2 linked regions of the Cricetulus griseus genome follow. The protein of the gene in region 1 binds, or shares a complex with, the protein of each later gene. Links are inferred from orthologs where the notes say so. Each region holds a gene or a part of one and is shown on either strand. Other genes may lie near its edges. The genes, in order: Dlc1 and Tns2.

Evidence for each region.
Region 2: the proteins of Dlc1 (region 1) and Tns2 are in contact, whole or in part, in an NMR structure (PDB 2LOZ), measured with the Homo sapiens proteins. The link is inferred for Cricetulus griseus from reciprocal best matches to the Homo sapiens genes DLC1 and TNS2. Residues at the interface, in NP_001335010.1 of Homo sapiens: Glu811, Asp812, His813, Lys814, Pro815, Gly816, Thr817, Phe818, Pro819, Ala821, Leu822, Thr823, Asn824; in NP_736610.2 of Homo sapiens: Asp1268, Leu1269, Leu1270, Arg1271, Gln1272, Gly1273, Ala1274, Ala1275, Cys1276, Lys1317, Ser1319, Ala1320, Gln1321, Thr1324, Leu1387, Asp1388, Pro1389, Asp1390, Gln1391, Val1403, Leu1404, Leu1405, Gly1406.

Annotation. Positions count from the first base shown.
Region 1 is NW_023276807.1:48,432,869-48,437,438, forward strand, and holds the start of Dlc1 (rho GTPase-activating protein 7), read left to right. Parts: upstream 1-1,731; 5' UTR 1,732-2,058; coding exon 2,059-2,095; intron 2,096-4,570. UniProt on the Homo sapiens protein: Functions as a GTPase-activating protein for the small GTPases RHOA, RHOB, RHOC and CDC42, terminating their downstream signaling.
Region 2 is NC_048595.1:398,500,213-398,504,570, forward strand, and holds the start of Tns2 (tensin-2), read left to right. Parts: upstream 1-1,321; 5' UTR 1,322-1,406; coding exon 1,407-1,481; intron 1,482-1,570; exon of another isoform or gene 1,571-1,665; intron 1,666-2,171; exon of another isoform or gene 2,172-3,250; coding exon of another isoform or gene 3,251-3,256; intron 3,257-3,340; exon of another isoform or gene 3,341-4,055; coding exon of another isoform or gene 4,056-4,127; intron 4,128-4,358. UniProt on the Homo sapiens protein: Tyrosine-protein phosphatase which regulates cell motility, proliferation and muscle-response to insulin. Phosphatase activity is mediated by binding to phosphatidylinositol-3,4,5-triphosphate (PtdIns(3,4,5)P3) via the SH2 domain.

The sequences.
Region 1 (4,570 bases):
ACACAAAGTTGTTCTCTGACCTCCTCATAACACCTCAGCCAAAAGAAAGTATTTGGAGGGAGGGGAAAACCCTGCATCTGTACTGAACATATGTAATTCTAGACAGTGTTTACATTGTATTACATATTGTAAATAATCTAATAATAATTTTAAAAGTATTTAGGGAGGATTCCGTTAGGTATATGTAAATTATACGTGATTTAGTATGAGAGGCTTATACATTCTGAAATGTGAGTACCAGAAGGACATGCTAATTATGGGTATGTTCACAGTTCTCCCAGCTGACACACTTTGGAGGACAACTTTATTTTCTTGGGCTATTCAGGGCTTCACTTTCTGGGCCCTCAACAGTCCCTTATTTCCATTCACGCCCATTTCTTCCCATCATTCTATAAACTCTTAGCAAGCAGGCACATGAACCCTGCACTGCCTTTGGATCTCCAACATTTGCCATCAGGTAAATGTCCTGGCAACATCGATCTGCTGAGTGGAGGTTGAATGTGCCTTCCCTCCCAAGTGAGGAATTCTGCTAGGGAAAATTAGGGTGCCATTGATATAAGTGGGGAGAGTCTGCTTTGTAACCTAGCATATGGCTATGAAATAAATCCATTTTGAAGTACAAGGGAATACAGTTTTCTGTTGGTGGTTAGCCCAACTTACCAATACATTCTGCCCCAATTCTATTGCCTGGTCTGCCTAACACCTCTCATCTAAGATACTACATATTTTCCACTTGCTTGGCTTATTGTATAGCTTCTCTAGGAACAAGCAACTCCGACAGGACAGGGATATGGTCCCCCTTTGCTGGCTGCTGTATAATCCTTCGGAGAAACCATTTGGCCCATAATAAATGCTGTCTTGGGACTGAATGAATCAGTTTCCATCAGTTAAGATAACACACATAACTTACTCCAAAGTAATTTTCATGAAAATTATTAACTTACTCCAAAGTAAATTTTCATGAAAATTGCTGTGGATATTTAAAGACCTTATATTCTGTCTGGAGCTTCAAAATGGGGCTTCTTATGATATAAGGAACCTCCAACTAAGCTGCTTGAGAATCATCTGAACCTTTGAAAAAGAAAAGAAAAAAAAAACAGATTATCACCATCAGATCATAAAAGGCAGGCTGGGGGCCAGTCCATGAGCAGTTTTAGCAGCTGTGATCTTAGTCCAAATGTAAATACACTGGCTATGACTGCGCACACGGTATACTGACTCTCCCCACGTGTTGGGGAAAACTTCCATAACAATGTTAGTACCCACATTCCCTCTGTGCTCTTGTGGGCTTTAGGGAGGAATGGGTGTCCCAAAGACCAGTTATTGTATTTCCCCATTTTCTGATCAAGAGACACTGCTCCATCCTGACCTCCTCACTGTCCCTACCATCATGGCAAGTTTTTGTGATGACCAGCATGAGAGGCTGCGGGTGCACAGAACCACCAAGGGAAAGATAGAGGTTAAATGATGAGCATTAGGCCCGGACCTCTACACCCAGCAAATGCCTCCAGGCTTTTTGCCTTTACCCTAGAGGCCAGTAGTTGGCGACTTTTAGGCGCTTCCCGCCGCCGCCGCCGCCGCAGAAGTGCAGACCCTGGGAAAACATTCCAGGAAAGGGCGGAGGAGGAGAAGGGCGGGATCTCGTGCGCGGTGGGCGGAGCCCGAGCACAGCCCGAGGCCGCAGCGTGGGTCCCGCCCGTGGGGGCGGGCTCAGAGGGAGGGCGAGGCCGGGAGGGCGCGCGGCGAGCAGAGCGCTACAGCGGGCTAGTGGAGGGCGGTGCGCTCCAAGCTGGACCATGGCTGAGCGTCCTCGCAGCAGGAGCTGAGGCTCCCCAGCTGCGTGCCCCGCTCCCTTAGAGCGCTCCCTTCCCGGTCGCAGTCAAAATCCACGATTTTGGCAGAGCTAGGGCGAAGGGCAGGGAAGCTGCGAAACAGGATGTGTTGACGACCGCGAGGGCTCGCGTCCCGGGTGCCACCGTGGGTCCCGGCGTGGGATCCCGATTACTCCGGGCTGCCTCGACGTTCCCGGTGCGCTCCCGCCGCCCTGCGCCGACCTTGATGTGTAGAGACGAGCCGGACACCATGATCCTAACACGTAAGATGGACTTGTGCCTTGTTATCGGACTAGTCTGCTTGGGGTCAGCCGCTGAGGGGACCAGCCGAAGAGGACTTGTCACTCCGCCCTGCCAAGTCCGTGTTGTGGTTGTGTGTTTTGACACGCTTGCAGAGGAGTCGCCCCAGGCTCTGGATTGTAGAACGCGTGTGTTTAAGCAGCTTGGGTCAAGAGTTTGGAGAGGGAGGTTTTAACTTCGGGTCATGTTCCTTGGCCACGTATTGCCTGGCGTCCGGGTGACTTGGACCCATTCTATTCCTAGAAGCTGGCCTCCTGGCCCCGAGGGGCGAGCGACCCCTTTTGGGGGACGGTTCCAGCTCTACTTGCTGCCCTACACCCTGCAAGTCCCAAATCAGCATTGTCCCCCTAAGAATGCATTATTTAAGGGACACTTTAGACTTTAGCTGTACTTGGGGAAATGTTTCTTTAGGACTGTTTGAGAGTACGTTTACAGAAGTGTTCGCTTCTTTTGTTGTCGTTCGCCAGTTTTAAACGCTGGGAATCTCTGAGCCTGGGCAGGCTGAGTCTGTGTTGCTCCTTGGCTACCCCCAACCCCTGTCGCACGTGGGGTTCGGATGGGAAGTCAGCGCTTTCCCGCTGTGTGGGGTGGTTGGACGCGGTTCCTGAAAAGCCCCACCAGATGCCCACGCCCTTGGTCTGAGAGCAAGAGTTCGTCAAGCTGTGGAAAGGAAGGAAACACGTCTCCAGGCCTGAGGCTTTTTTTCTTTTTTAAGTCAAGGAGACGGCCTCTTGGACTAGTGCCCCTCTCTGCGCCCCTGTCCCCTCCTCCAATGTCAGGAGCTGAGAGCCTTTGATCCTTCTTAAGAGTTGCTCCTAGAACAGCAGCCCACCCTGCTGGTGTAATTTTCTGTCTCTGCTAGTCATTTCGGCAGGGCCTTTGGTACGAGGAGTGATGTTGGGGAAGTGAATTGGGGATCAACATCGCGCATGATGCTCGACCCCAGAAAGTGGCATAACCTCACTGTGCCGTCCCCAATCCCGGGTAATAATTGTTGACACAAGGGAAGTTGTGAGGATCAAATAGCTAGTACACGTAAAAATGCCCAGTGGAGTGACGGATACTGACGTTCACTCTGTTCCCAAATGATGCTAATAACTAGAAGGGAAACCCTGCCCAAAGTCATTAATCTGCTCAGTAGAAGAGGAAAAAAATATTGCCCTATCCGGTTTTTGCTTTCAATGAGGCTTTTTACACTCAACGTGGTCACAAATGGGTTCATTCTCTAGAGTCAGAGGTTGTTTCAAGCTGTGGCTGGTGATTCGGAGGAATGCAGCCTTGGCACAGCCATCCATTACCAAAAGATTCGTAGGGGTGGCATATGTGACGCATTTGAGTAGGAAAAAAAATCAGGCTCTGGAGAAGGCAGAATGCCCAGTCTCAAATTACATTTTTTTAACCCCGCAAAATGCTGTTTGCTGAAGGGATGAGGGAAAATAATAGCCCAGCGGACTGCTGCGCAGAACCTATCAGCCTCTCCAAGAGGTTGACTAATTTTGCTTCCATCTGGACAGCAGGCTAGTCCTCTGCGGGATAATTTGCTGACCATAAGGGTGGAATTAACGGAGGCACCCAGTGCCATCTTGGCAAGCAGATTGCAGCAGATGGTGAGAGGGGTGCCCTTCGAGGCAGCAGCCCCCCTGACAGAAGAACCAAAGTCCTGAGGAACGAGTGTCAAATGGTTAACAGATGTGCCTTCAGAAGTTATTTCAAGACATTTCCTGAGAAAATGTTGGAGATTGCCCGTATTCACTTTTATTGAGGCATGCCAGATTTGCAGCCTGGCCCTAGCCTGGGTGCATAATTTTTTCATTAGTCCTACTGTTCAGAGAGTTTAAAATGAAGCCCAGCAGACAGACTTTCTCTCAAGTTCTCTCAAGCTGTTTTTTTTTTTTTTTTCAAAGTTTGCTTTTGACAAATTGACTTTACTCTCCTGCAAGCTGAGTGATACCTTACCCTAAACAAGATAGAAGGTCAGGGGCGGGAGCTGACTTCGTTTTTTTTTTCTCCCAAGCCACAGACTCTGGAATCTGAATATGTGGTCTCCAGCTTAGATCTTTGCCCTACAGTGGATGAGAAAAGTGGTTTCAGTGACTTGTATTCTAATTCCCCTGCTTTTGTAGATTGAATGCAGACCACTCTCTAAGGAGTGAAAAGATGAAGCTGTTTCAGACTTTAATACACTGAGCCGGTCCAAGACATTGCTTTAATTGTGGAACACACACAAGACAGTTTGCCCTCAGCCTTTGTTCTGCATAGTAGTTAAAAGAACAAAGGCCAACAGAACAGGCTAACCGTGATGTTATGACCACAGCAAGGTATTACTAAATAAAGTGAGATTAAACTGTCTAGTCCTCCAAGGGCTGTAGGACTTAAAGGGGCCATGGCAGATTCCTGCAAGAAGCTTCCAGTCTGAGGCTTGGTGAGGCTCCAAGAGG
Region 2 (4,358 bases), on another chromosome or scaffold:
TCTCCAGCTCTCCCTCTAGTCCCCCAGGAGTCCGGCTGCTGTAAAGTGCCCACTGGACAGCAAGATCCATGCTTTCAGCTCTTCCCAGCTGCCAGATTAGAATCAGGTGCTCCATTCCCCAGGAATCAGAACCAAACCGCCAAACCCAGCCTTTGCCAGAGACATGATGAGCACAGAACCCTGCTGAGATGGGGCAGGCCAGCAGGCAGACCCAGAGGGCTTGAGCAGGCCCTGCTGGACTGCTTTGGGAACCTACTCGACAGTTAACTCTAGGCACTTCCCACTTCTCAGCATGGAGATCCTCTGGCTCACCAACTTAAGGAAATTCCAGTGTGGAAGGAAGGTAATAGGATCTGTTAAAGAATGCTGGGAACTGGGACGCCCATAGGTTCAAAGACTCTAGGACCACACATTCCCTACCCTCCACTGTCCCTTCCCACTGTCACAACTCAAACTAGCACCATGGCCCATCAGTTTAATTTCAGGCGTTCTTTTCCAATATCAGACTTTTAAAAAGGAATGAGGGGCTGGAGAGATGGCTCAGAGGTTAAGAGCGCTGGCTGCTGTTCCGGAGGTCCTGAGTCCAATTCCCAGCATCCACATGGTGGCTCACAACCATCCGTTATGAGACTTGGTGCCCTCTTCTGGTGTGCAGGGATATATGCAGACAAAAAATAATAAATAAAATACATAATAAATAAAACAAAAAGTAAAAAAAAAAAAGGAATGCGATGACACCACCAAAAGAACTTGCATTGGTAAGCCCCAGGAACACAGGGGCGATTACTAAAGCCGTTGAGGGGTGGGAGCTTTGAACCTTGTGTGGGTCCTCAGCTGTGAGTCTTCTGGGAGAAGAGACACAGAAAAGTTCCAGTGGGGGAGAACACCAGGAAGTGGTGTCCTAAGACCCGGGACACCAGTACATCTGGCGCCCCCACCAGGTCAGGCATGGTTCAGAATAGATCCCGCACTAAAGTGGCCGCCGAGATGCCAAGGCCTCGCAGCTGTTCTGTGTACCCTTCTGGATCTGTGTCCACCTTCTTTTGAGGAGTCTGTGCGGCTCACGCGTTTCTCTCCGCCCGTGTCCCTCCGCAGCCTCTCGGTCTGAGGCTCCCTGGGGCTGCCTTCCCACGTGCGGTCCCTCCCCGGCTCAGGCTGCCAGCTCGGCCTTCGAGCCTGCCTCTGCGCGCCGAGCCGTTCGCGGGAAGGACAGTGGGAGGAGAGGAGGGAAAAAGGAGGCGGCGCGGGCGGGGAGCGGGTGGAAGGTGGCGATTGGAGCCCGGGGAAGAAGGAGGGAGCCGGAGGGCGGGAGGAGGTGGCGGGGCGCAGAGGGAGGGAGCCAGCTGAATGCCCGTCCCGCAGCTGCCGCTGTCTCCGCGTGTCGCGGTGCGGCTGGCCTGGCCGGGATGGGCTGGCCCGGGGGCGCCCCCTGCTGCTGCCCCGGTCCGCCGCGCCCCCAGCCCTCCGGGCGCCCCCCACAGGTGAGTGGCCCCGCCACGCCAAGCGAGCGGGAGCGCGGGCGGCGGCCCTCTGCGTCACAGCGCGAGGTGCGAGCCAGGGGCGGGCGCCAGGGGGCGCGGAGCCACCGGGGTCCCGGAACACCGAGCGCGGCGGGATCCCGGAGGCTGGGACTGCCTGCCGCCAGCGCCCTCCCGGTCGGTCGCGGTGAGCTAGGGGGCAGTTTGAGATCCTAGAGGTGACCAGGGGGCGGGGCACGGCTGTGGTCCTAGCTCAGGCCGCCCCGCCTTCCGCGTCCTACTGCGCACTACTGGAGGGTCGGCTGCTCCCTGCGTGCATCCCCAGCTCAAACGACAAACACACTTTTTGAGCACAAGATGCCCGCGGTAGCTGGCCGCAGTGTTTCGGCCCTGGCCTGGCAGAGAGTATGCAAGCGTTTTCTTCTCATGTTCCCTATCTGGGACACTGAGGCACAATGCAGGCACAGATGAAGCTGATCCCTCCTAACAGCCCTAGTCTACTTCTGCCCTGCCTAGACACCCCCTAGGTCTCTCTGGATACATCCCAGAATCCTACCTCTCTTCCCCTCCCTTCTTTCCTGGGCCTCACTCCTCTGTGGCCCGGCTCCCAGCTTCTCATCCAACCACAGCTATTTCCAGGAAGGAGGGGTGTGTGGGTGGGTGGAGGGGTTTCTCCAAACAAACCCAAGGCTTCAGAGTAAGAGGGGGCCCTGCTGGGGGGAAGAAAAAAAAAAGCTCTGGAATATTCCAGGCAGGAGGTGGGAAGCGAAGATCTACGGGATCTGGTAACGCCACCTCAGCCAGCCTTCAGGATCCTTCCAGAAGTACTTCACTCCCCGTGGTGGGGACACTCATAGCTCTTGACCAGCCAATTGCAGTCATTTGAATGGACACTTTTCTAGGTCTGTGCGGGCAGGCAGTGAAAGTTCAATGTGGCCAGAGGATGTCTGGGGACTTTTCACAGAGGAGGGGACTTTCAGTCCCACAAGGAGACAGCAGAAGTAAGGCTATGTGCCATAGATGCAGAGGGAAAACACTGGATGGGGGGAGCCACACTCACACAGGCCCTACAGTGACCCATCTCCCCCAGCAGGGCTGGGTGCTGAATCAGGCCAGGCCCAGTTGCCCACCTGGCCATTGGCCTGGAATGTCCTGGGACACAGCCAGGACTTGGGTAGGGATTACAGAGCCAGTGGCCCTCTCCAGTTACAGTATGGGGGGCCACACCTTGCCACTCAGGTGCCACCCTCTAGCCAGGGTACACAGGTGACAGGCTTCCTAGAGAATTGGAGCATGCAGGAAGAAGGCTCAGGCTTCCCAGTCTGATGGTCTTTCTAAGGTGAACCAGGGAGGAGTAGAGCAGCCCTTCACCTGGATGAACAGGAGGCAGAGGAGGGAACTCCTGTGGAACCCTGTGAATGTAGCCAGAACCGGAGGAGTTGCACTGGGACATTCAGTAAATACCATGCAAATGAGGACGACAAGATTGTACATTCTTTCAAGTGACAGCTACAGCATTCCAAAGGCTGCTGTCCAGGGCTTGAGCCGAGAACCCCCAGGCCATTGACCCTTGTTTTAGGAAGATTGTTCTATCGTTTCCAAGGCCCTATCCACCTCCTTCCTTGACTCCTGGGACAGGAAGTTGGCCCTATTCCCAGGAGGGAAGCAGGAGGCCCTAGAGGGGGTGGAGAATGTGTTGGGAGGGGGCCTCCTGTCCAGTCCTCAGGTCCAGTGACAGCCACAGATGAAGAAGAGCCAGGCCCAGAAGAGCCATGAAGGTAGTGCTCAGGTTTGAATGGGTGGGTGGGTGGGGTCCCAGATACAGGGGGACTAAGCCAGGAACTGTGGGTTTTATCTGGAGCACAGTAGCTGGGGTCTTCAGGTGGAACCTTTCCAGGGCCCTGGGTTGCTCTGGACCACTCACTACTGTGGGCAGCTGGGCTTCTGGCTGGTGCTTGGCCTTGAGGAGGGTACTGCATGATCTTCCCCATCTGACAAGGAAGCTGGCCCTCATTCCTACTTCTTTCACCCTAAGTAGTCTGAGTCCTAGCCTGCCAGGGGTACTGGTTCCCAGCTCCACTCCCTTCCCACAGGAAGTCCCAAGGGAACTTAAGAGTCCAGGCTAGAGACTGGCTGGGGACACAGTGTTCTTCTCTGGCCCTCAAGCCCAGCCCTGAGACCTGAATTCCCACCCTGCCCCACTGACTGATTCCAGGGCTGGATCTCAAGACCACAGACCCCTACACAGGGTGGCCCACCGGGTGAGAGGCAGCTCCAGAGGAGAAGGGGAGAGCCAAAGATCTTGGGCTGACACTCCCAGCAGGGGTAGATCCTGGGAATCTGATCTCCTGGCCTCCCCCACATCCTCCCCCACCCCACTTCCTGGAGCAGCGACCTGCCCCCTTCCCGCCTGCACTTCCCTTCACTTCCAGGGCCAGGCTTCTCCACACACCAGCCAGACAGCCTCCCCTCCACCCAAGGGAAGCGGCTGCCTCGGCCAGGCTGCTTCCAGGAAGCCCCAGGCCAGGCCCCAGCATTGTTCAGGCCCTGCAGCCAAGACCCAGCCAGCCAGACACCATGAAGTCCAGCGGCCCTATGGAAAGGTTGCTCAGAGCCCTGGGGAGGGACAGCAGCCGGGCCACCAGCAGGGTAGGAGTGCCCACCAGCTGGGCAAAGGTGGGGCAGGGTGGAGGTGTGGACAAGGGGGGAGGGCCAGGATTCAGGCCAGACCCTCTTGCTAATTTCAGCCTCTTCTCCTGCTCCTTACCTTGCCTCAGTATTCCCCTCATTCCCCTGCCCCCCTGAGGTGGCCAGGGTGGCAGTATGATCCTGCCATCTGTTTGGACTTCTCTGCCTTTCCTTGCTTGAGCCTGAATAAGC